Mytilus edulis: one gene and its partner. The protein of the gene in region 2 interacts with the protein of the main gene of each other region in a biochemical or structural test. Links are inferred from orthologs where the notes say so. Each region holds a gene or a part of one and is shown on either strand. Other genes may lie near its edges.

Region 1 (11,573 bases), on a different chromosome or scaffold from region 2:
GTGCCCCGCAATATGTCTCACCACTAGATGAACCTGGAGTTGAAAACACAGAAGGAGAATGTCTCTGGCTATCTGATAAAGAGAAGGTGAATGAGTTCCTCCCTGATTCTTGAGATAAGCTACAACTGTTGTGTTGTCCGTGGCCAGAATGACAGACTGATTCTTTAGAGACATTTGGAAATGATTCAGTGCAAACAGAACTGCTTTCATTTCCAATACATTGATATGCTCTTCCAAAAGATCTGGACTCCAGACTCCCGAGATTGTAAGCCCCTCCAGATATGCTCCCCAACCGAGGGTGGAGGCATCTGTGAATAATGTTAGACTGGGAACTTGAGGGAACAGACATAGGCCCCTCATTACATTTTCCCGTACTAACCACCATTGAAGGTGTGGAAATAAAGGCTGAGTGATTGGAATCAATGCTTCCCATTCTTGTGAAGCTGCAATCCATAACTTGTGCAGATAAAACTGAAGCGGACGAATGTGAAGTCGTCCCAATGGAATTACATCTGCCAGAGAGTTCAATAGACCCAGAAGTTGCAAGAATTGACGTGCTGTGACTGATTGAACCGTCAGGAATAAATGTATTTTCTGACATAGTTTTGTAAATTTCTCCTCTGGTGGGAGGACTAGGCCTACACTGGTTAGGAAATGTTCTCCCAGGAAAACAAAGTCTTGAGACGGAATTATCTCTGACTTTTTCCAAGAGATAAGGAAACCTAGGGACAGAAAACAATTGATGACCAAATCTGTCTGAACCCTCAAGTTGATTGGGCAAAATTCCTTGAGAAGGGAATCGTCCAGGTAGGAATGAATCTGAATAGACAGGGAATGTAGGTGAGCTATAGCTGCCTGCATGATTTTGGTAAAAGCCAAAGGGGCTGTAGACAGGCCAAAAGGGAGAGCCTTGAACTGGAAAACTTTGTTGTTCCAAACGAAGCGAAGGTATTTCCTGTAAGTTTGGGAAATGGGAATGTGGAAATACGCGTCTGAAAGATCCAGAGAAGTAGTCCACATTCCTGGAAGGATTGAAGCCCTGATGGATCTGTTTGTTTCTATTTTGAAGTGGGGAACAATAAGAAATTTGTTCAGAATAGATAGGTCTATGACCGGCCTCATTCCTCCAGTCTTCTTTGGAACCAGAAAAAGACGGGAATAAAATCCTGGAGACAGAGTTAAGATCGACACCTCCTCTATTGCAGCTTTTTGTAACATTGTGTCCACTTCTACTGATAGAAGTTGACACTTTACTGGGTCTTGAGTATGAGACAAACTTATTGGAACTGCAGACAGAGGAGGTGGGTTCTTGAACTGAAGTGTTAATCCCCCTCGAATTATTGACAGCACATAACAGTCTGAGGTAATTTTCTTCCACTGATTTAGGAAAAAACTTAACCTCCCCCCTACTGGTATTGATTTTTGAGGAACTTGTTGTAAATTTTCCCCTGGGGAAGCTGTCAATAACGTACGAGGGGGCAAGAACCTAGGTACTAGATCCAGGTTTCTTGGAACCCTTAAAACCACCAGAAGGCTTACCTGAGCTTTTTCCTGAGTTATTGGGTTTGTTCTGCGGTTTGCCGTAGTTATTCTTCCTTTTCTTAGCAGAAGAAGGAGGATAACCTGAAGCAGAAGTACTAGTAGAACTAGATGTAGCATTAACCGACCTTTTGCCATTAGTAACTTGTACACTAACTTTGACTGGAGGAGGGTTTTTGCTGAGTTCCTCTTGAACCCGCTGTAAGGGTAAACCAAACATCTTGTCAGAGAGTGGAGATTTCAGTAAAGAATCTTTCAAAGGCTCAGCGATAGAAATGTTTTCAAGAAACTCTGCTCTTTTAGATAGGGTGCAATTAGCAATAGAACCCATTAAAAGCAACTGAGATGAACCTAAAGCTTTATCCAGTTGAAGTAAGAAGGATCGTACTTCTGCTGGAACAACCGAATCTTCGCTGTTAAGCAAATGTCCGGTTGCAGCTAGAAAATGTTCGGCTGTACCAAGAACTTGAGAAGCACTACGAAGGAAATTCTCAGTCTTTGACCAAACAGGTTGAGTGAGACGAAGACCATCTACTGGCTTTTTTCCCAATAAAGATGACATAGATTTGTCACAACTGGGAACAAGTCTACCCAGTGAAGAATCAAAGATATCAAAATCCTTGTACTTAACCATATCAGAAAAGGATGACATTCCAAATCCTGAGATATTGTTATTAGCAACCTTTTCACTAGCAAAATTAGCGATACCTTCATTAATAAATTGTAAAGCAAAAGCCATATGGCCAGATTCAGGAAAAGAATTGTGAGAAGTCACAGTATCCTGAGAAATACCACAGGAAGCTTCAAAAGTTGAAGAAGGTTTCTTCGGCTTGGAAGGAGAGGCAAAAGGGATATGTGCTTCATCCCTCATCAAGGTATACACCTTATCCCTAAGATCCTTCAAGGAAGGAGGATCCTCGGTCTCCTTGGTGGGAGGTTGTTGAGCTGACTTAGAAGAAGGCTCAGGGGCCGTCTTCGATACCTTGGGAGAAGAAGAACTTTCAACATCCTCATCAGTGAGGAAAGCCCTTTCATGACTCCCAGGGGAAACAGAAAGCTCGTCATCCTCCCTCTCATCACATTCTACAGACTTAGCTGGAGAAGGTTGATGAGAAGAAACTCTATTCTCCAGTAGAGTCATACGACTGGATAGAGTACTAAATTCAGCCTTGAAAGACTCACCAAAGTCCAAAAGTAACTTCTGTAAACCATCCAAAGGTGATGCATGATCAGAAACCTGAGTACCATGAGAAGAACTAGAAGCTTGAGAGTCAGGTACGGTGGTAGAAGGAGCTACTGCAGAAGTCAAAGATACTGCTACGGGTAGAGCAGGAGCTAAAGGTGGTGCAGTAGCTACCCCAGAAGGGGGACCATAGAAATTGTCCCTATAAGGCCAAAAACCAGGTTGGTTTGGCATAAACCCACCATAAGGGTAAGACTGTGGCCAAGGTGGCTGAGACCATGAGGGTAAAGGTTGTGTGCCCGTGTTGGGAAGCATATACCCACAATAGGATAATGGGGGTCTAGAACCTGGCAAGTTCAAGCCCATAGCTGTACCTGGGACAGAACTAATAGTACCCGCTGAATTAACAGGCCTAGATAAAGTATGAGTCACCGAAGTTGACGTAGGTACCCCCCCAAAATGCATGGCCGAACCTTGTGAAAGGGTCGGATAGGTAGCATTACCAGACACCGTTGTCGAAACTCCGGTCAATGTACTGGTAGTTTGGGGGGGACTTAAAGGTAGTGACCCATCTAAGAGATAGTCCGAACCAGGAATACTTACATACGGACTATTCAAATTAAAGTCCATAATAAATTTTACTTTAGTAAAAAAAACACAAATAATTTGTTTAGAAATTTAAACAAAACAAGGGAATATATTTCCAATAAAATACACAATATATATGAAAAGCAATTAAGCTATTCAAAAAACTAAACACTTCTCTGTTGAATCTGTAAAACTTGATGTGCACGTGTGACCGATGTCGCAGATGGAAATTGAATGGAAGAATATGGGCAAACAGGGGTATATGTCCGGACCAGTGAGAGTAAGTTTATTTTTAGTCGGGATTTTCCATCTGACCTATGACGCAATTGGGGTTATACTCAGAATTTATGATGGTAACGGATTTATAGCTATAAAAACATTGAAGATTTTAAATGAAAAACACAAAAGACAATTGTTTTTTTTTAAAACAGCTTGATCCCTTTGATCTGAATAAATGAAACAATAAAATATAGCAATACACTATTATAACCAAAACATGATGAAATTTATTCAACACACAAAAAAAAACGTAGTCAGAAACTCACTTCATTTTGAAACAAGTCAATGAAACAAAGTTATAGCAATACACTAACCAAAACATGATTAAGAGTTATTCAACACAAAATATAAAGTTGACAGAATCCCACTTTATTTAGAAAGGATTTTTTTTTTTTAACAATTCACTTGGATTTGTATCAAAAGTAGTAAAAAAGAGTACAAATCTATTTCAGTTTTTTTTTAATGAGGTACAAATCATCATCAGTTATTACAGCTTTTACATTAATGCTAGCAAGACAAATCTTTGTTTGGCTTGCTTGCTTTGTTTGTATCAGTGTTTGCTCAAGCATGGTAATTAAGATAGGCGGGGCTTCAGCTTGTGTACATCATACTTAGATTTTATTGGACGTTATGTCTGAGGTTAAGGACACTTAATTTTAAAACATCACATGACAAATATTCTCACATGTTTTCTCACCTGTAAAAATACAATAATTTGTCAATGAAAGAAAAATATAAACTTTTTTCTTGTATGAGCTGAGAAACTGGCCTTTTCAACATTAATTGACCTAACATTGTTTTTATAACATATCAATCTATTAGTTCAGTCAGTTATTTCCATGTCTGTCCTTATGCAACTCGAAAAAATATTCCAAAAAATGGGAAACAATTGTATCGAAAAGAAAATCGAGTGCACCTTTTTTTTTATGTTAGGGTGTGTTTGAGATGAATATTTTGTCTTGAAAATGTACAAAACAAGAGTATTTGATACATCATCTCGCTTCAGACTCTATCTATCATTTTATATAGCAAAGCTACTACTAAAAGATGAAATATAGGGGTCAAGTGAAATACCTATCCAATGGATCACAAAATCAGAGTAGGTGTGTTCGAATAGCTATTTTACTAAAAGTGTTGACGACAGTCTTTAAGTTGGATCTCTGAAAAAAAATTGTCTTCCGTTTCTACGATTTTGAAAATGAACTGGCGAAGTAGGAAGATAATTTCGACGAAGTAGAATCCTGTCTGTATTGTATATTAACAGGTAAGGAAACATATGAGAATACGTGTCATGTGATGTTTTAAAATTTAGTGTCCTTAACCTCCAACATAACGTCCAATAAAATTTAAGAATGATGTATACAAGCTGAAGCCCCGCCTATCTTAATTACCATGCTTGAGCAAACATTGATACAAACAAAGCAAGCAAGCCAAACAAAGATTTGTCTTGCTAGCATTAATGTAAAAGCTGTAATTAAATATATAAGTTTGTTTTGATTGATATTTTTGTAACCTGGAGGACAAAGTTTAGACTGTCATGCTTGTCATAATATTGCACCATAGCTGATGCATTCTGCTTCTGCATTCAGAAAACATTTTATGGCCCTCTCCAAATAGCTCTTTAATGTGAAGGGATATTTCTCCGTAAACTGGTATCGTCACATCTTTTCCCCATTCGATGACTCCACACATGTTTCCCAAATTAGGAACCTTCTTCTTCTTCTTCTTTAGGTTTTCAGTCTTCAATGATCTGAAGATTATTTACTGTTTGCGCGCGCAGCGTGGCCTATATATATATTTACAAAAACAAAAGGGCCAAAACAAAAACAAAAATATTTGGAAATAAATTTGAGGTGCATAATTTATTAAAATTGTGATTAAAACTATGTACATAGGCTAATAATGAGTTAGATGAATTTGTGGAGAACAGCTGGTGTGAGCTGTTCTCTGAAAGTGTCGACTGTGGCGACAGCGACTGTTTGCATTGGCAATAAGTTCCACTGAGTTATGGTATATGGAAAAAATGAGTATTTATATGTATCTTTTTTGGTTGAAATGTGTCTAAAAGTATAATTATGGTTTTTGCGTGTTCTACTGTCTGATGGTATGAGAATAGCCGATGGTATAGCTACGATTTGATGTACTATTTTATAGAACATTATTAATCTTGTGCGAGTTCTTCTTTCCTGTAGAGTTGGCCAGTTTAGGGTGTTTATCATATCTGTCGGGCTACTGATGTTATGGTATCTGTTACAGACATATCTGGCAGCTCGCCTTTGGACCATCTCGATTTTTGAGGTTTGTTCAACTGTGTGAGGGTCCCATACTGAACATGAATATTCCAGTTTAGGACGGACTAGTGCCAGATATGCCTGAGTTTTGATGTTCTGACATGATGTTTTTAAGTTTCTTTTTAAGAAGCCCAGAGATTTGTTGCCATTAGCTATGATGTTGTCTGTATGTTTAGACCATTTTAGGTTTGCTTGAAGTGTAATGCCCAGATATTTAGCCGAAGAGACAAGTTCCAGTTTGTGATTGTGAAGGATATAGTCATGTTTAAATGGGTTTTTCTTCTGTGAGACTGTAAGGACTGTGCATTTGTCTGGATGGAAAGCCATCAACCAGTCTTGCTCCCACCTAGCAGCTGCATCTAAATCTAACTGTAGTGCATCACAGTCGCTTTGAGATTTGATGGTTTTGTAGATGATACTGTCATCGGCAAACAGTCTGAGCTTACTGGATGATAGGTATTCTGGTAGGTCGTTAATGTATACCAAGAATAATACTGGGCCCAGAACTGTGCCTTGAGGGACACCTGAGGTGACTGGGGCTAGGTCAGATGACTCTCCATCCAGGACAACTGTTTGTGTTCTGTCATTTAAGAATGCAGAGACCCAGTTTAAAGTTTCATTTTGGATACCGTAATAGTGTAATTTATAGAGTAATCTTTTATGAGGGACTTTGTCAAAGGCTTTGGCAAAGTCCATTATAATTAAGTCTATTTGAGTGTTGTTGTTATTATTTGCTGCAAGTTCTTGAATGAATGAAATGAGTTGTGTTTCGCAAGATCTAGACTGACGGAAGCCATGCTGGAGGTCATACAGTATGTTGTTCTTTTCAAGATGGTTGATGATGTGTTTTGTGATGATATGCTCCATAAGTTTACAGGATATACATGTCAATGATATAGGGCGGTAATTTTCTGGTTTATATTTAAAGCAGATGTTTATGTAAGTCCATCACATCGTGACCTCTAGATTTGATGTTGATGTTGTCAGTTTATTTTCGATTGATGAGTGTGAATATCCCTTCGGTATCCAGGTATCTTTCGCCCCTCTTTTCGATCAGTGTCATGAAACGAAAACGAGACGTTTTCATCAGAAAGCAGTGTCAGATTTAGAACTGTTCATCAGGGGGACCACTGACTGACCTGAGAGGGTCCTGGTCTAGTCATGTTTAATCAATCAAATTTTTTCGACGAAAAAAGGGGGGGGGGGTAGCATGCCAGAGGTATCTTCTTTCTTCTTCTTTAGTTACGGAATACCATCAACTTTTTGAGGATTACTTTCCGGCGCATGCCTGTATGAGGTCGCTTTAAGTTAATTTCATTTTTTTTATTACTTTTATTTATTTATGAAATTTACAATTTTTTTAGTTTCAATTTTTACATTTTTTATATATATTTTTTTATAACTATAAGATAAAAACAATAAGCACATTTAGTTCAGATGAGAGTATGTTTTAAGGAGCACCTCATGAGTGAGTTCAGGTATCAGGTTCCTTCGCGCCCAATACACTTTCGCACCCTACAAGTTCACACCTCCCACATTTGCACCTCTCACATTCGCACTTCACACATTCGTACCCAAGGTGACCCGTTCGCACTCTACACGTTCGCACCCAATTTTAATTCAAATTCCAGTTGGATAATTGGAAAATCATGATTGTTGTTATAAATTGCTTTGGTGTAAGTAAAACATTCAAGATTTTAAATGAAAAACACAAAAGATAATTGTTTTTAACAGCTTGGTCCCTTTGATCTGAAACAATAAAATATATTGCAATACACTATTATAACCAAAACATGATGAAATTTATTCAACACACAAAAAAAAACGTAGTCAGAATCTCACTTTATTTTGAAACAAGTCAATGAAACAAAGTTATAGCAATACACTAACCAAAACATGATTAAGAGTTATTCAACACAAAATATAAAGTTGACAGAATCCCACTTTATTTAGAAAGGATTATTTTTTTTTTTTAACAATTCAATATCCAAAACATGATTTAGATTTATTCAACACAATAAAAAATGCTGTCCCACTTTTTTTTGAGACAATGACAACAAATATAAAAATGGCAGTGTCTGCACATTGGATTTTCTATTAAACTGCGATCGGATCGGAATGAAACGTGAAATATATACGATAATCATCGATAATATTGGGATTTCGTGTAGAACGAGTGAAGAGTATGAAAAATGATATTTTCAAATTGTATTTATTAAATAATGATACATAAAAAAACATTGCAAAATTAAATGCACAATGATGGAAAATGAAACTGTACAGTCCCTGTAAAAGAAAAACATGATAGAAATAAATACTATTATAAAATTTAAATGAAAATGTAAAGAATAACATTTTAATAATTTAAAAATATACCCATATGATAATTTGAAATAATCTTTTAGTAAAATGTAAAACAGAAACGAAAATTTTAAAATATATAAAACTACTAAAAGGTTAAAATGAACAAAATTATAAAAAGATAATCAAGTAAACTATAAAAGAACCTTTTTTTTTTCAATCTATTATGTTTTTTCACTTGTTTGTAATGCAAAAGATAAAAATAAATCATTTTTTATTTTTAAAATAAGAATTCCATGACAATGTTTGATGTTTAAAGAAATTATAGTTAATATTCAAAAGAAAAAAGAAAAACTAACCAGGCACGTTTCTCATCTCAGTCAGTAATGTTGCTAATGTGCCTACATTTGATTGATGCGTCATAGGCCTGTGTATATTGTGCAGGTCTTTTAGCGTCACTACTTTCCCAGTTGACGATAGATCATATTGGAGGAGTTTTTTTTTTGCCTTCATTTTAAGCATGTTTTTGACATCTAGTTTCCTTTGTCTAGTCAGATGCTCAAATAGACATTTATTGATCTCATGATTGTGAAAACTGTGTGATTCCCTCACAATCAGGTTTTGTCCATCTTTAGTTACGCCAAGTTTAATGTGGAAAGGACATTAAAAAAACTTAAATAAACGCTGCAAATTCGAAAATACAATTTAAAACAAATACCTTGTATTAGGCCTTTTTCCTGTCGAATTAGTTTGGAATTTTTCCCACCATGAATGCAGGAAAAATTTATACTGTTGTACTTTAAATCTTCTTTAATTTTTGTGCTCCCGGTTCTTCTTTTCTCTGCGGCTGCTATAGATTCCTAATTTCTTGTATACAATTGTATGAAATTTAACGCCTGATAGTTCTGTACAAATTTTTCTAATTCATGATAAGTCTGAAATGTATTCCCCACAGTTATAATATCACTCTCTTTCATTTTAAGAATATTTACTTACTGAGAAAAAACTGTTCACTTACCTATATATAAATGTGTATATTTATAAAAATTCTGAGTAGTTTAATCAGTTTATTCACTAATTGCAAAAAATTCCGTTTATATTTCACGTTTCATTCCCGATCCGACGGCATTTTATTATAAAACCAGACGTGGGTACGCGCAGCCTAGAACGGCAATTTGACTATTCGTACACGCAGACACTGCCTATAAAAATACACTTGCCAAAACTTGATTACAAAGCTATAGTTATTAAACACAAAACCAATTAAAATTGGGCGCGAACATGTAGGGTGGGAAAGTGAAAGGGGCGAACATGAGTTGGTGCGAATGTGAATGGGCGTGAACGGACCCGGAATCCCTGCCAGACCCCTGCCAGTGCTCTTGGTCTTGGATCAGACTATGGAAATTAAATTGCATTTACCATCACACGACAAAACTTAACCCTCTTACTGCCATCAGTTTTTTAAGGTGACGCTACATGACAAACAATGATGTCATTCAATTTATGACGTCACACTCTTATGACCATAACAGTTGGAATCCATTGAAGAAAAGCATTAAACTATTAAATCTTTTGAATTTACGAATGATATGATTACTTAAAATGTTTTCCCTCACAATTAACAAATCGTTATTGTTCTACCAATACACGATTTTTTACTTTCAGTACTTAGTTTTTGATTTATTTTGTTTGTGTGTTTAATTTTGGCACTTTCATTGGAGGCACCAAATAAACCAAAAATAAATCTACAACCAAAATAATCCAATTTACGGTACATACATGTATCATGAAAACTTTGTGTGAACAGACTAACAACAAATACTGACATTTTCTGAAACAAGGTTGAAAATGTGTTGCCAAATTATATATCAGTCAGTTGAATATCAGAACATGCATGAACATGGTGATCACTGTTTCATACAGATTAAAGCATGCATTTGTTTTATGTTGAAAGAAGGGGTTCCTTATTGTATGTCTTGTCCTGTCAATTTATTATGAGTTTTACCAGAAGTTTTATCGTTATTGTTGTGGTGTACATGTGTTTTCAGAAATATCTGTTGATAAATATTTATTTTGACATTATTTTTCTTTCAGGATATATTACAGACCATGGACAGAGTCATAGCCTTAGTAGATATGGATTGTTTCTATGTACAAGTGGAACAAAGATTACAACCAGAATACAAGGGAAACCCATGTGCTGTCGTTCAATACAAAAAATGGAAAGGAGGAGGGTAAGCAAGTTTTCTGCTGTTTATATAGATTTAAGATTATTATAATGTTTCACATGTACCATCTCTTACTGACAATCATGAAAAATTGTACACACATACACAGCTACACAATAAACATTGTATCTTATAATTATACCTGTTAAAATGTTTTGTTCATTGAATCACTCAGCAATATCCATGATAGGTACTTCATGAGCCAAATTGTTTGCCAAACACTTGTTTGTGTCATGAACAAGAAACATGATTAAGTGTAAACCATGATAAATGGTGTCAAATGTAGGCCTGACTTATAAGATGATATCTGAAACTTTTTGATAAGTTTCTTGTAACAGTCTTAAAATAGCTAAGTGTACAGTTAGGTCAGGATAAGATTTATTGTACAAATTTTGTAATTGATGTGAATGCAAACTTCCAGTCAATCATAGAACAAAGGATTGACATGTTGCTGTAAAAAAAAAAAGACAGAAAGGTTTGTGAAATTCATGATTTAACCCGTTGACTGAAACAACTTGGAAGTTTTCTATAGTTTATTTTTGTTATTTGTAGGATAATAGCTGTAGGATATGAAGCAAGAGCTTGTGGTGTAAACAGGAACATGTGGGGTGATGATGCTAAGAAAGTGTGTCCAGACATACACTTCTTTAGAGTACCAGAGTACAGAGGAAAAGCTGATCTTACTAAGTATATTGTTTTTATTTCAATCGTCATGAACTTCAGTTGTTTAATAATGTGTATTTTCAGACTACTTGTCAGACTATAAGTCATCTACCAGTAGGTACATGAGTACTTTGAATTAAATGAATCTTATACGTCTTTTGTAGTAGATACTATCTCTTGTCATTAAAAAAAATATATGAGTTTGATGAATCGTTTTAAAGCAAATTGACTGTGGAATTAAAGGCTGATCAATTATAGTGCTCTTAAAGGGTAAGCAGTTTCTACTTCAAAAAAGTCACCTGGCAATTTTTATGAAAGTAAAAAGTCACATATGGAAGTTTTATTTGAGCCTATTATCTCTGTTTTAGCTAGCCCCCTGTATCATGTTGTTCTTAAAGTCATGAAAAACTGCATTTCAAATATTCATTATATCTTTTTAAGGTTTAGAGATGCAGGTAAAGAAGTGATTAATGTTCTGAGTAAGTTCAGTGACTGTGTAGA
Region 2 (10,945 bases):
AGGTTAAGTTTTGGTGGTCAAGTCCATATCTCAGATACTATAAGTAATAGGGCTAGTATATTTGGTGTATGGAAGGACTGGAAGGTGTACATGTCCAACTGGCAGGTGTCATCTGACCTTGACCTCATTTTCATGGTTCAGTGGTTATAGTTAAGTTTTTGTGTTTTGGTCTGTTTTTCTCATACTTTATGCAATAGGTCTACTATATTTGTTGTATGGAATGGTTGTAAGGTGTACATGTCTAGCGGGCAGATGCCATCTGACCTTGACCTCATTTTCATGGTTCAGTGGTCAAAGTTAAGTTTTTAAGTTTTGGTCTTTTTATCTAATATTATATGCCAAAGGTCAACTATATTTGGTGTATGGAAATATATTATGATCTATATGTCAGTCACGCAGGTTTTAATTGACCATGACCTCAATTACACGGTTCATTGCCCAGTGTTAAGTTTTTGTGTTTTGGTCTATTTTTCTTAAACTATAAGTAATAGGTCAACTATATTTGTTGTATGGAAGCTTTGTTAGCTGTACATGTCTGCCTGGCATGGTTCATCTGACCTTGACCTCATTTTCATGGTTCATTGGTCTTTGTTTAGCTATCATGGTTAATGTTAAGTTTATGTGACAGTTGTAATCAAGCTTTATACTTAGGACTATCAACATAATATCAATGATTAGTAAAGAAGGCGAGACATTTCAGTGTGGGCACTCTTGTTAATAAAATACGACGTTTATCGATGCATTGTTTTTTATTCAGAATTCACGGAGTTTACTTCCGGAAGGGAGACAACTCGAAACGATAATATGGAAGACTCCATTTTGCCTGAAGGGGTGTTCTAGTAACATCTTGACGATGTGGACTACATTCATTTTAATTCAAATGATGCATATGATTTAAAATTATGCAACAACAATAACCCTAAATGGCAGACATACATAGAAAAGATCCAATGAGTTATAAATTAACTAATTGAGTGGGGAATCCAGAGCAACCATTCAATCTAATACCCCTTGAAGTCAACAAAACTATACGCATGCGCATAATTACCAAAAACAAAACCTGGAGCAAGAACGTATATTAAATGTCTATTAAACGACCTAGATGATTCTCTATTTCTGTATGGAAATACAATCTCAAATATCAGTTTCATAACGGCAACATATATAAGAAAAACTCCACTTCAGTTCTTATATGACAGAAATAGATTTATCGGAATTCAGAGAACTCTCGCATTTTTATCAAAACTGGGGAATTCCCTCTGACGTGTTTCTAAATTTCTAAAAACACTAAATATTAATACTGCTTAATTCTGATTTTCCGTGTTGTTAAAAACATGCATATAAGTCAAGTGAATTATCAAACATGCAGATTATGAAAAGAACATTATAGGAAAGTTGTTTAAGTTCAATCCCTTTGTTTGATTTTACCTTTTAAAGAAAGACAATCATAACAATCTGTGATGTTCCTTAATGTTTAGAATGAAAGTTAAAACGGTTGACGTGAGGGCATTGCCCTGAGCCAATGGTAAAAGTCTACAGATTGCTTGAAAGCAATCGTATCCCAAAAAATGATATTTGACTTTACTTTGATATGAATTTGATGTTAGGACATAAACTGTTAAATTGGCAGTGCATCATCCCAAATGGCACATCAGCTTGCTCATATCTGCCCGACTCTTATTAGTGCCAAATTACGTTGACAAAAACTTTACTTTCGTTTTTAAAATCACATTTTCCTAATACGAGATGTTGACTTGACAATGCTAAACATGCTAAAACATGGACCAGAAACGTAAAATCTGTGTATGTTTACAAAGCACGACTGAGTGAAGAAGCTTTTTCCACATTATTTCTTCAAAAAAATACTTAAAATGTATGTAGGAAGCATAATTTACAAATTTCCCACCTGCACACACGAGCACACGTGTCCTAGTTCATACAACGTAGTTCTGACAATTTTTCATTTAATACCTTTTTAATTTTTTTTTATCATGTTTATCAAACCATGTATGTTTATAAACATATTTCTTATAATTTTAATCTGTTGGACTAAATCAGTTTGATAGAAACCGCTGAAATGTAAGAAAATAACTTTAAATTGACCAATCAATTTAAACGATGCCTGTACTGAAAATAGTTTACCTGTCACCTGAACAGGTAGTTTTTCAGTTGTCCAACAACTAATTAGCCTTGATTAAAGTCAGAAAGTATTGAAGTAGGGGTTGTTTTGATACTAATTAATCATCATGTCATTTTATGGCTGGAAACGTGTGGCTGTCAAAGGCCAAAGGTTAGCTAAAAAAGATAGTGAAATACATGTACAATGTATGTCAAATGACTGTCTCTGTAAAAAGCATTGACTACATAAAAGTAGATGACCGTTTCATGTTTTGCCCAGACAGACTTTTACCGGACATTAAACAATTGTCCGGAATATATGACCGTTTTGGAAGCCTTGATTAAGTGTGAACTAATTCCATGAAAATTGGTGATGTTCTCCAATAAATGAATGTAACAAAAGATGTTGCATTAGAATCAATGTTTAATTATCTTACATGTGTTAACAAATATCAATTCAAAGCTTTTTATCCACGGATATAGTCAGCTGGGAATAATAAACTTTGAATTGATAGTAATTAGCAAATTACAAGTTAGTTCTAGTATATTTATGAAATTATGTTCATATTATCACAGGAGTTTGAAATCTTATCAATAAGGGGGTAAAAATATACCAAATACATGAAATACGAGAGAAGCTCTACTGTGATTATGTAAAGCAAAATTATATCCGGGTGAAATTTGATCCGGAGGAAAAAATGTCACAGTAGTTGTTGTTATTGTTTTATCCGGAGGTAAATATTTCCCTGGGATATTTTTTCTTTTACCGTGAAATTCTATCTGGGTAGTTAACTTATTGAATAGTTATAAGAAAAAAAAATCCTTTACAAATACTATGAAATAATAATAGTGTATTTAAATTAAACCTATTTTGTAAAAAAAATAATGTATTATTATGGGAATTATTTCACAAATTATCATTGAAAAAATTTCCTGAAAAAATTCAAGTAAATATCATTCTTTTGAAAAGAAAATTATCAGTTCACAAGAAAGAAAATAGGAAAAAATTTCAAAGATCGTAATTGTGAAATAATATCATGATTAAATAAGGTAAGTGTAATACATGTAAAAGTGAGTTGTTTTCAGATCTCAGTACAAATATAAATTAAAACGTAAAGGTAGAAATATAGTTGCATTACTACTGTTAACAGTAATGGAAGAATTTGATTACGATAATATTTTTAACTATATAAATAGTCTGGGAACAAAGATGTTGTTGTTGATTATATGGAAATCAGATAAATTATAGCATAACAATATATTGGAACAAAAGAAATTTTAACAGCTGGATAGTATTAACCTGTGAAATGTTATCTGTCTTATTAAAAATTCATGTTGTAAGTCATCTTGTTATAAATGAATATATAAAAAATAAGATTCAAGGAAAAATTTCGCTATGAAATAGATTCAGGAATATATTATATTAATATCCTTAAAATATGAATTGCTCATAATTACCTCCCTTTGATAAATTATGCAAATTTGTTCTACCTTTGACTTTGTGAAACATTTTATAATTAAAGTCAGGTATATAATGATTGCGAGTAACTTACTTACTAGTTAATGGGACTATATCTCACAAGGTTCTGTGAAATATGATATATGTCAAATATATACCGGTACATACTATCCGCATAACAGATAGATTTTCACTCCTCTGGAAAAGTTCTACCTGTGAAATACCATGCCTGGAAAAAAATTACCTTGACAAATTATCCTCAGGATAGAATATCACAGAGGAAGAAATATAGATTCTTACACTGCAACAAGTGTATTACGACATTTCTCCACTTGAGACAGTTAAATTTTATTATTTAAAGCGCGAGGCTTGCCGTCACAATAGGAAAATTGAGAAGAAAACAAAACATTTTGACGTCATAATCAAATTTCGACTAATCATTTGCCGAGAACAGATTTTTCACTAGTGAGGAGAAATATTTTTCTCACACTGGTCAGGAAATGTGAAAATAGCACAAAAATTAGAGAAATAAACTGTTACAATAGTCGACTTTGGTATATTTTTACCCCCTTATTGATAGGATTTCAAACTCCTGTGATATTATACACACATAGATGACGATGGACATGATGGACACCAAGTGATGATAAAAGCTCACTTTGGGCCAGGTGAGCTTAAAACAGTCTTGCCCACAAGAACCTATCATATTCATTTGAAATTACACAAAAAACAGCTCTGTTTTGTGATAAACGTCAGTGTAAGGGGTCTCATTGGGGGGTTCTGATCCCGGATCCCGCTTACTGTTTTGTCAGATTCCCGTATGCCGCTTATACTATGTACCTAAGCAATTCTCATTTTTTTTGTAATTTCCCGTGTCCCGCTAGCCCTTAATTCCCGTTTTCACGGCACAATAATTTGACTTTCCCGTATCACGCTTACGAAAAATCGGCAATCCCGCGTCACGCTTAGACCCCAATGAGACCCACAGTGTACGTTGAAAGTGGATCTTCCCATGCCTGTGCTGGATTTTCTATAGAGTAAACGTTATTTAAATTGCATCACCTTCATGTTTTCCCTAATATCTGATAGACATGGGACTAGTATAATAATAGGATAGACTGTTGTAGTGATGAATGTTTTTGCTTCTTTTTTTTCAGCAGGGAATGTATAAGTAAGGGGAAAGAAACCAATTTTTTCCTTTTTTAAACCACAGGAGTTTACCGACGTTGTTTCACTGGATCTTTACTTAAGAAAACCATTTCAGATACACCTAAAATACCAACATTGAACCTAAAAAAAAATCGTCACAATATGAGGGTTTGGATGGGGTTAAATAATTTAAGAATAATGCCCTTAAAAATAAAGATTAGAGAATAACGGGCAAAAAAAATGAAGATTAGAGAAAAAAGGGGTTAATTTTTTGAAGATTAGAGAAAAAAGGGGTTAATTTTTAAAAGATTACGGAGAAAAAAGGGGTTAAAATTAAATGTTTACAGAATAACAGAATCCAGACCATCCAATACACATATTTCACGTTAATCATTTGCTAAACCTCTCTAATAAATGGGTTTTGTGTATTTGTGCAGAAACATGTATACTATACGTCTCTGATTTGTGCTATTTCGTGTGTTTAATGATATAAAGGATATAATCTTAATATTTAGTAGAAACTGTTACACCAGCCTAACTAATTTCACTTGTCGTGATATTTTAAAACTTCCATCTTACTCTGTTCATTTTTGGGATAATATTGACAACAACTAATAATTTCCCCATTCATATAACAAATGTTCAGGTTTCCTGTGTTCGGAGATTTATGTGAAACTATATATCATGTATACTTATGTTTGGTCATTTAATTCTGAAAATTTTCATGGACTGTCATCATTGTTATCTTTAAAATAAAGCTATATTTGACAAATTTTCCAGTTTCCTATAATTTCGGAGAATTTATGATAAAATCTCTGTTTTTGTCTCGAAATATTTATTATATATCTAGAAATTTTGCCAGTTTCCTTATACAATTATGTGTGATGTACAAAATAGATTTATATTTAAGTTAAGGTTGATGCTCAATCAATAACATAAATATTTTATATTTCTCAGTTTTCATTTGATTGTTTTTATTAAAAAACAAGAATGTTTCCTCAGTACACGGATGTCCATCCGCACTATCCTTTTCTATGTTCTATGGACCGTTTGTCATTGAAATCAGAAAGATCATATCATAGGGAACATGTAAACTAAGTTTTTTAAAAGTTGATTTGACTTCAACTTCATCAAAAACTACCTCGACAAAAAACTTTAACCTGGTACTAGGACCCATCCTCTTCCTGTGTCATATAAATGATCTCCCAGATGCAGTAAACTCATCAGTACGACTATTTGCAGACGACTGTTTGCTCTACCGGGAAATCAAAAACCAAAATGACCATAACAAACTACAAGAGGATCTCAAATCACTAGAAAAATGGGCCGACGACTGGGGTATGCGCTTCAACGCCAAAAAATGCTATATGCTTAGCCTGAAAAGTAAAAGTCAGCGTTTTTACAACCTTAACAACCACACGCTTGAACAAGTGTCATCCAACCCATACCTAGGACTCCAAATACAAGAAGATCTTAAATGGAAAGAACAAATAACAAATACGTGTAACAAAGCTAGTTCTACCCTAGGCTTCCTTAGAAGGAACCTACAACACTGTCCTATGGAATGCCGTAAAACAGCATATATAGCTCTCATACGATCAATAATGGAGTATGGATCAATTATTTGGGACCCATATACCCAAAAAGACATTGACAAACTAGAATCCATACAAAAGAGAGGTGCTAGATTCATTACCAAAGACTACAAATCAAGAGAGGAAGGATGTATGACAAAAATGCTAAAAGAACTTCAACTCTTGTCATTACAATCAAGACGCCAACAACAACGACTGATCTTCTTTTTCAAAGTGGTTGAGAGGAAGATACCAGCGCTTCCTCCCGACGATTTAATCCAATTTCATAGACCAAAGAGACAAATCAAAGCAACAACATATAATAACTTTGTAACAAAAAACATTATAGACCACCAAGTCCGTAACAACAAACGTGCGGTCATAGTTCCAACCAGTAAGACAGAACAATACAAGAACTCTATTTTTGTGCGCACTGCAATAAACTGGAACCATCTGGAAGACTCAGTAGTGTGCGCCACTACTACCGAGGAGTTTAAATCAGCACTCCTCAGCAAGCGCGACTAATTGTGCGCAGACCAACCCGTCACATAATAGCCGAAAGGAATCTGTGACGTACCCATCCTAATTACACAAGTGGGAAATACAGACAGAATACAGACAGAATCGCGAGGAACGGACGGACGGACGAACAGACGGACGAACAGACGTACGCACAGACCAGAAAACATAATGCCCATAAATTGGGACATAAAAACTACTTTTTATTTTAGCCTGAACTCATTTTTTCCACAACACTATTAACAACCTAGAGTTTTAGTATCTCAGAACCATATCAGGATCTGCGTGCCCTTCTGGAGTACATGAGATCAGCTTTGTTCTTTCTGGGGTTTGTATTGCTCAGTCTATTCTTCTATGTTGTGTTTTGTGTATGATTGTTTTTTTTCGTCTTTTTATCACATAACGTTGTCATCTATTTTTCGACAATTGTGATCATGAGTTTGAAAAGCCTTTTGATATTTTTGGCCTCTCTTTAATGATACCATGGACACAACACGCCCTCAAGTTTTTATTGATGTTTTAAACCTATTTTCTGGATATATTGGTTAGATAATAAAGCCATCGATTTAAAATAACGATATTTCCAGTTATAACATTAGATATATTGAATGTAGCTGAAGGGGTAGACCCAGAAAATTGTCAAATGAGTGTCATCAAAGCCAACTTTCAAATGAGTGTCACCAAAACTAACTTTCAAATGAGTGTCACCAAAACGAACTTTCAAATGAGTGTCACCAAACCGAACTTTCAAATGAGTGTCACCAAAACGAACTTTCAAATGAGTGTCACTATTATTGAAATCTAGGTCATTAATGTAAGAAAAAAATAAATGTCATAACACATGGTTCAAGTAAGTTGATCCCATTTTCATATTTTACCACCTTGGTGGTTTTCTGGTAGCGACCTCGCCTCTACAGTCAGGATTATACTTCTTCAATATTATCTCCCCATTACGTCTTTTCTCGACTATTGGTACGTTGCACGCAAAACATTTTCAGAAACATGACCACGCCATTTGAACGCTCAACTTCGCAACTGGTCCGAGAACACAATTATTTCGTAGTGCATTTCTTTTAGAACATAAATGAAAATAAAAAAAATCCCACCTGCGCTTTCTCAAAGAAACTTTTACAGTGTGGTTGTACTACTTTTGGAACAAATTATATCAAAATTATAGAAAACTTCATCGTCTCTAACTCAAAATATGGACAATTTTATGTTTAGGGCGTCTTGAAATCTTTTGACAGCTTCCGAAGTGCTAATTTTCAACCTTTTTCAGCTGGACCAAATCACTACTTTCCTTTAAAATTCTGGACCCAAATTTTTTTACAGTGTAATTTCACCCCCATACTTGCAATTTGAGGCAATAAACATGGAGAAATAAATTTGGAAGGAGTATAAAAATTAATGGCAAGTAACCCACTGTCAACACTAGCGACTATATTCGTGAACAACGAAAAACAAGGGACGACAATTGTGGTCTCGGACCAACTGGTTACAATCCTGTCGATTATTCTGAGAATGACAAACATGTTTGGAAGATTAAACTTCTAAAGTTATTGTTTTTCTTAATGCTTGTTGTTGCTGTGTTTAGCATGTTTCCAGAATACAACCACAGTTTGACTTTGGAGTAAAACCCACTTATCCAAATAAGTCGAACCTATAAAAATTACACCGGTTAATAAGTTTCGAGCTATAATATGCTAATAACATTAAAAGTTCGTTGGCACTTTGGCAGAATTGCATGATATACTGAATATATAAAAGGTTGGAAATAGAGAAGTTAGAGTGTGTTGATTATACGAAAAAAATGTATTTTGGTTTTAAATTTTATATGGACCTTTGATCTATAACTTTTAAAATGTGGAGTGAAAGAAATCAAGTATTGGGAACTTGTATGAACACATGAATATTATTAAAACTATAAAATAGATTATATACCGATATATAGTATTTTCTTTGAAATAAATGTTTTTATCAATAGCTTTCTATCTCTCGCAAAAAGGATATCCTGCGTTTGACCCTTTATTGAACAGGAAGATCTGTTCTTACTAACTTTCCTTGAATTACTGGTTTTAAATTAAATTTTATACGCTCAGAAGATATCACAGATGAAACAGGCAGAAGACGAATAAACAAGCGGACGATAAATACGGGTAAGATTCATTGAATTATATCAGATATAACAGATGGAAAAGACAGAAGGAAAATATACAAGGGGTCGATAAATACCGGTAAGATTCATTGAAATATATCAGTTATAACAGATAGAACAAACAGAAGGAGAATATACAAGGGATCGATAAATACCGGTAAGATTTATTGAAATATAACTGATAAAACAGATGGAAAAGACAGAAGGAGAATATACAAGGGGTCGATAAATACCGGTAAGATTCAGAATATACAAGGGATCGATAAATACCGGTAAGATTTATTGAAATATAACTGATAAAACAGATGGAAAAGACAGAAGGAGAACATACAAGGGGTCGATAAATACCGGTAAGATTCATTGAATTATATCAGATATAACAGATGGAACAGACAGAAGGGGAATATACAAGGGGTCGATAAATAACGGTAATGTTCATTGAATTATATCGGACATACCAGATGGAAAAGACAAAAGGGGAATATGCAAGGGTTCGATAAATACCGGTAAGATTCATTGAATTATATCAAACATAACAGATGGAAAAGACAGAAGGACAATATACAAGGGTTCGATAAATACCGGTAAGATTCATTGAATTATATCAGACATAACAGATGGAAAAGACAGAAGGAGAATATACAAGGGTTCGATAAATACCGGTAAGATTCATTGAAATATATCAGACATAACAGATGGAAAAGACAGAAAGAGAATATACAAGGGTTCGATAAAAACCGATAAGATTTATTGAAATATATCAGATATAACAGATGGAAAGACAGAAGGAGAATATACAAGGGGTCGATAAATACCGGTAAGATTAATTGAAATATATCAGATAAAACAAACGGAAAAGACAGAAGGAAAATTTACAAGGCGTCGATAAATACCGGTAAGATTTATTGAATTATATCAGATATAACAGATGGAAAAGACAGAAGGAGAATATACAAGGAGTCAATAAATACCGGTAAGATTTATTGAATTATATCAGATATAACAGATGGAAAAGACAGAAGGAGAATATACAAGGCGTCAATAAATACCGGTAAGATTTATTGAATTATATCAGATATAACAGACGGAAAAGACAGAAGGAGAATATACAAGGCGTCAATAAATACCGGTAAGATTTATTGAATTATATCAGATATAACAGATGGAAAAGACAGAAGGAGAATATACAAGGCGTCAATAAATACCGGTAAGATTTATTGAATTATATCAGATACAACAGATGGAAAAGACAGAAGGAGAATATACAAGGTGTCAATAAATACCGGTAAGATTTATTGAATTATATCAGATATAACAGATGGAAAAGACAGAAGGAGAATATACAAGGCGTCAATAAATACCGGTAAGATTTATTGAATTATATCAGATATAACAGATAGAACAAACAGAAGGGGAATATACAAGGGGTAAATAAATAACGATAAGATTCATTGAAAAATATCAGATCCTCATTATTAATTTTAGCTACAAGCCTACATACGATGATATAATGGCTATAAATATAGCTTCAGTATAACATAAGTAGATGCTGTTTTATTGTCAAATGAGACCAGAGCTCAACTGTGGGGATGGCGCATTTTAGGCCACCATACGGCTTTCAACAATGAACCAGAAAATCCACAATGGCCGTATTTAGCTTTAATAAAAAAAAAAAACACAGACACGAAAAATGTACAACAATTCAAACAGGAATATTAACGGCCTAGTTTATAACAATCCCATTTACGCCATTATATATAAAACAAATACTACAGACACATGAACCAACGACCGTTCATTGAATTACTGGCTCCTGCTGATGGACGTTTCGTCCCCGAGGTATCACCAGCCCAGTAGTCAGCACTTCGCTGTTGACATGAATATCTATTATGTGGTCATTTTTATAAATTTCCTGTTTACAAAACTAAGGATTTTCTTATCCCAGGAATAGATTACCTTAGCCGTATTTGG

The links.
Region 1: the proteins of DNA polymerase iota-like (region 2) and DNA polymerase eta-like interact in far-western blotting, tested with the Homo sapiens proteins (2 studies listed by BioGRID). The link is inferred for Mytilus edulis from reciprocal best matches to the Homo sapiens genes POLI and POLH.

Annotation. Positions count from the first base shown.
Region 1 is NC_092346.1:54,549,195-54,560,767, reverse strand, and holds the start of DNA polymerase eta-like, read left to right. Parts: upstream 1-6,800; 5' UTR 6,801-6,819; intron 6,820-10,275; exon of another isoform or gene 10,276-10,287; 5' UTR 10,288-10,290; coding exon 10,291-10,415; intron 10,416-10,961; coding exon 10,962-11,096; intron 11,097-11,513; coding exon 11,514-11,573. Other genes in the region: uncharacterized protein, read right to left, coding at 1-1,218. UniProt on the Homo sapiens protein: DNA polymerase specifically involved in the DNA repair by translesion synthesis (TLS). Due to low processivity on both damaged and normal DNA, cooperates with the heterotetrameric (REV3L, REV7, POLD2 and POLD3) POLZ complex for complete bypass of DNA lesions.
Region 2 is NC_092347.1:11,937,170-11,948,114, reverse strand, and holds the start of DNA polymerase iota-like, read right to left. Parts: upstream 4,772-10,945; 5' UTR 4,640-4,771; intron 1,783-4,639; exon of another isoform or gene 1,586-1,782; intron 1-1,585. Other genes in the region: uncharacterized protein, read left to right, coding at 6,094-6,825. UniProt on the Homo sapiens protein: Error-prone DNA polymerase specifically involved in DNA repair. Plays an important role in translesion synthesis, where the normal high-fidelity DNA polymerases cannot proceed and DNA synthesis stalls. Favors Hoogsteen base-pairing in the active site.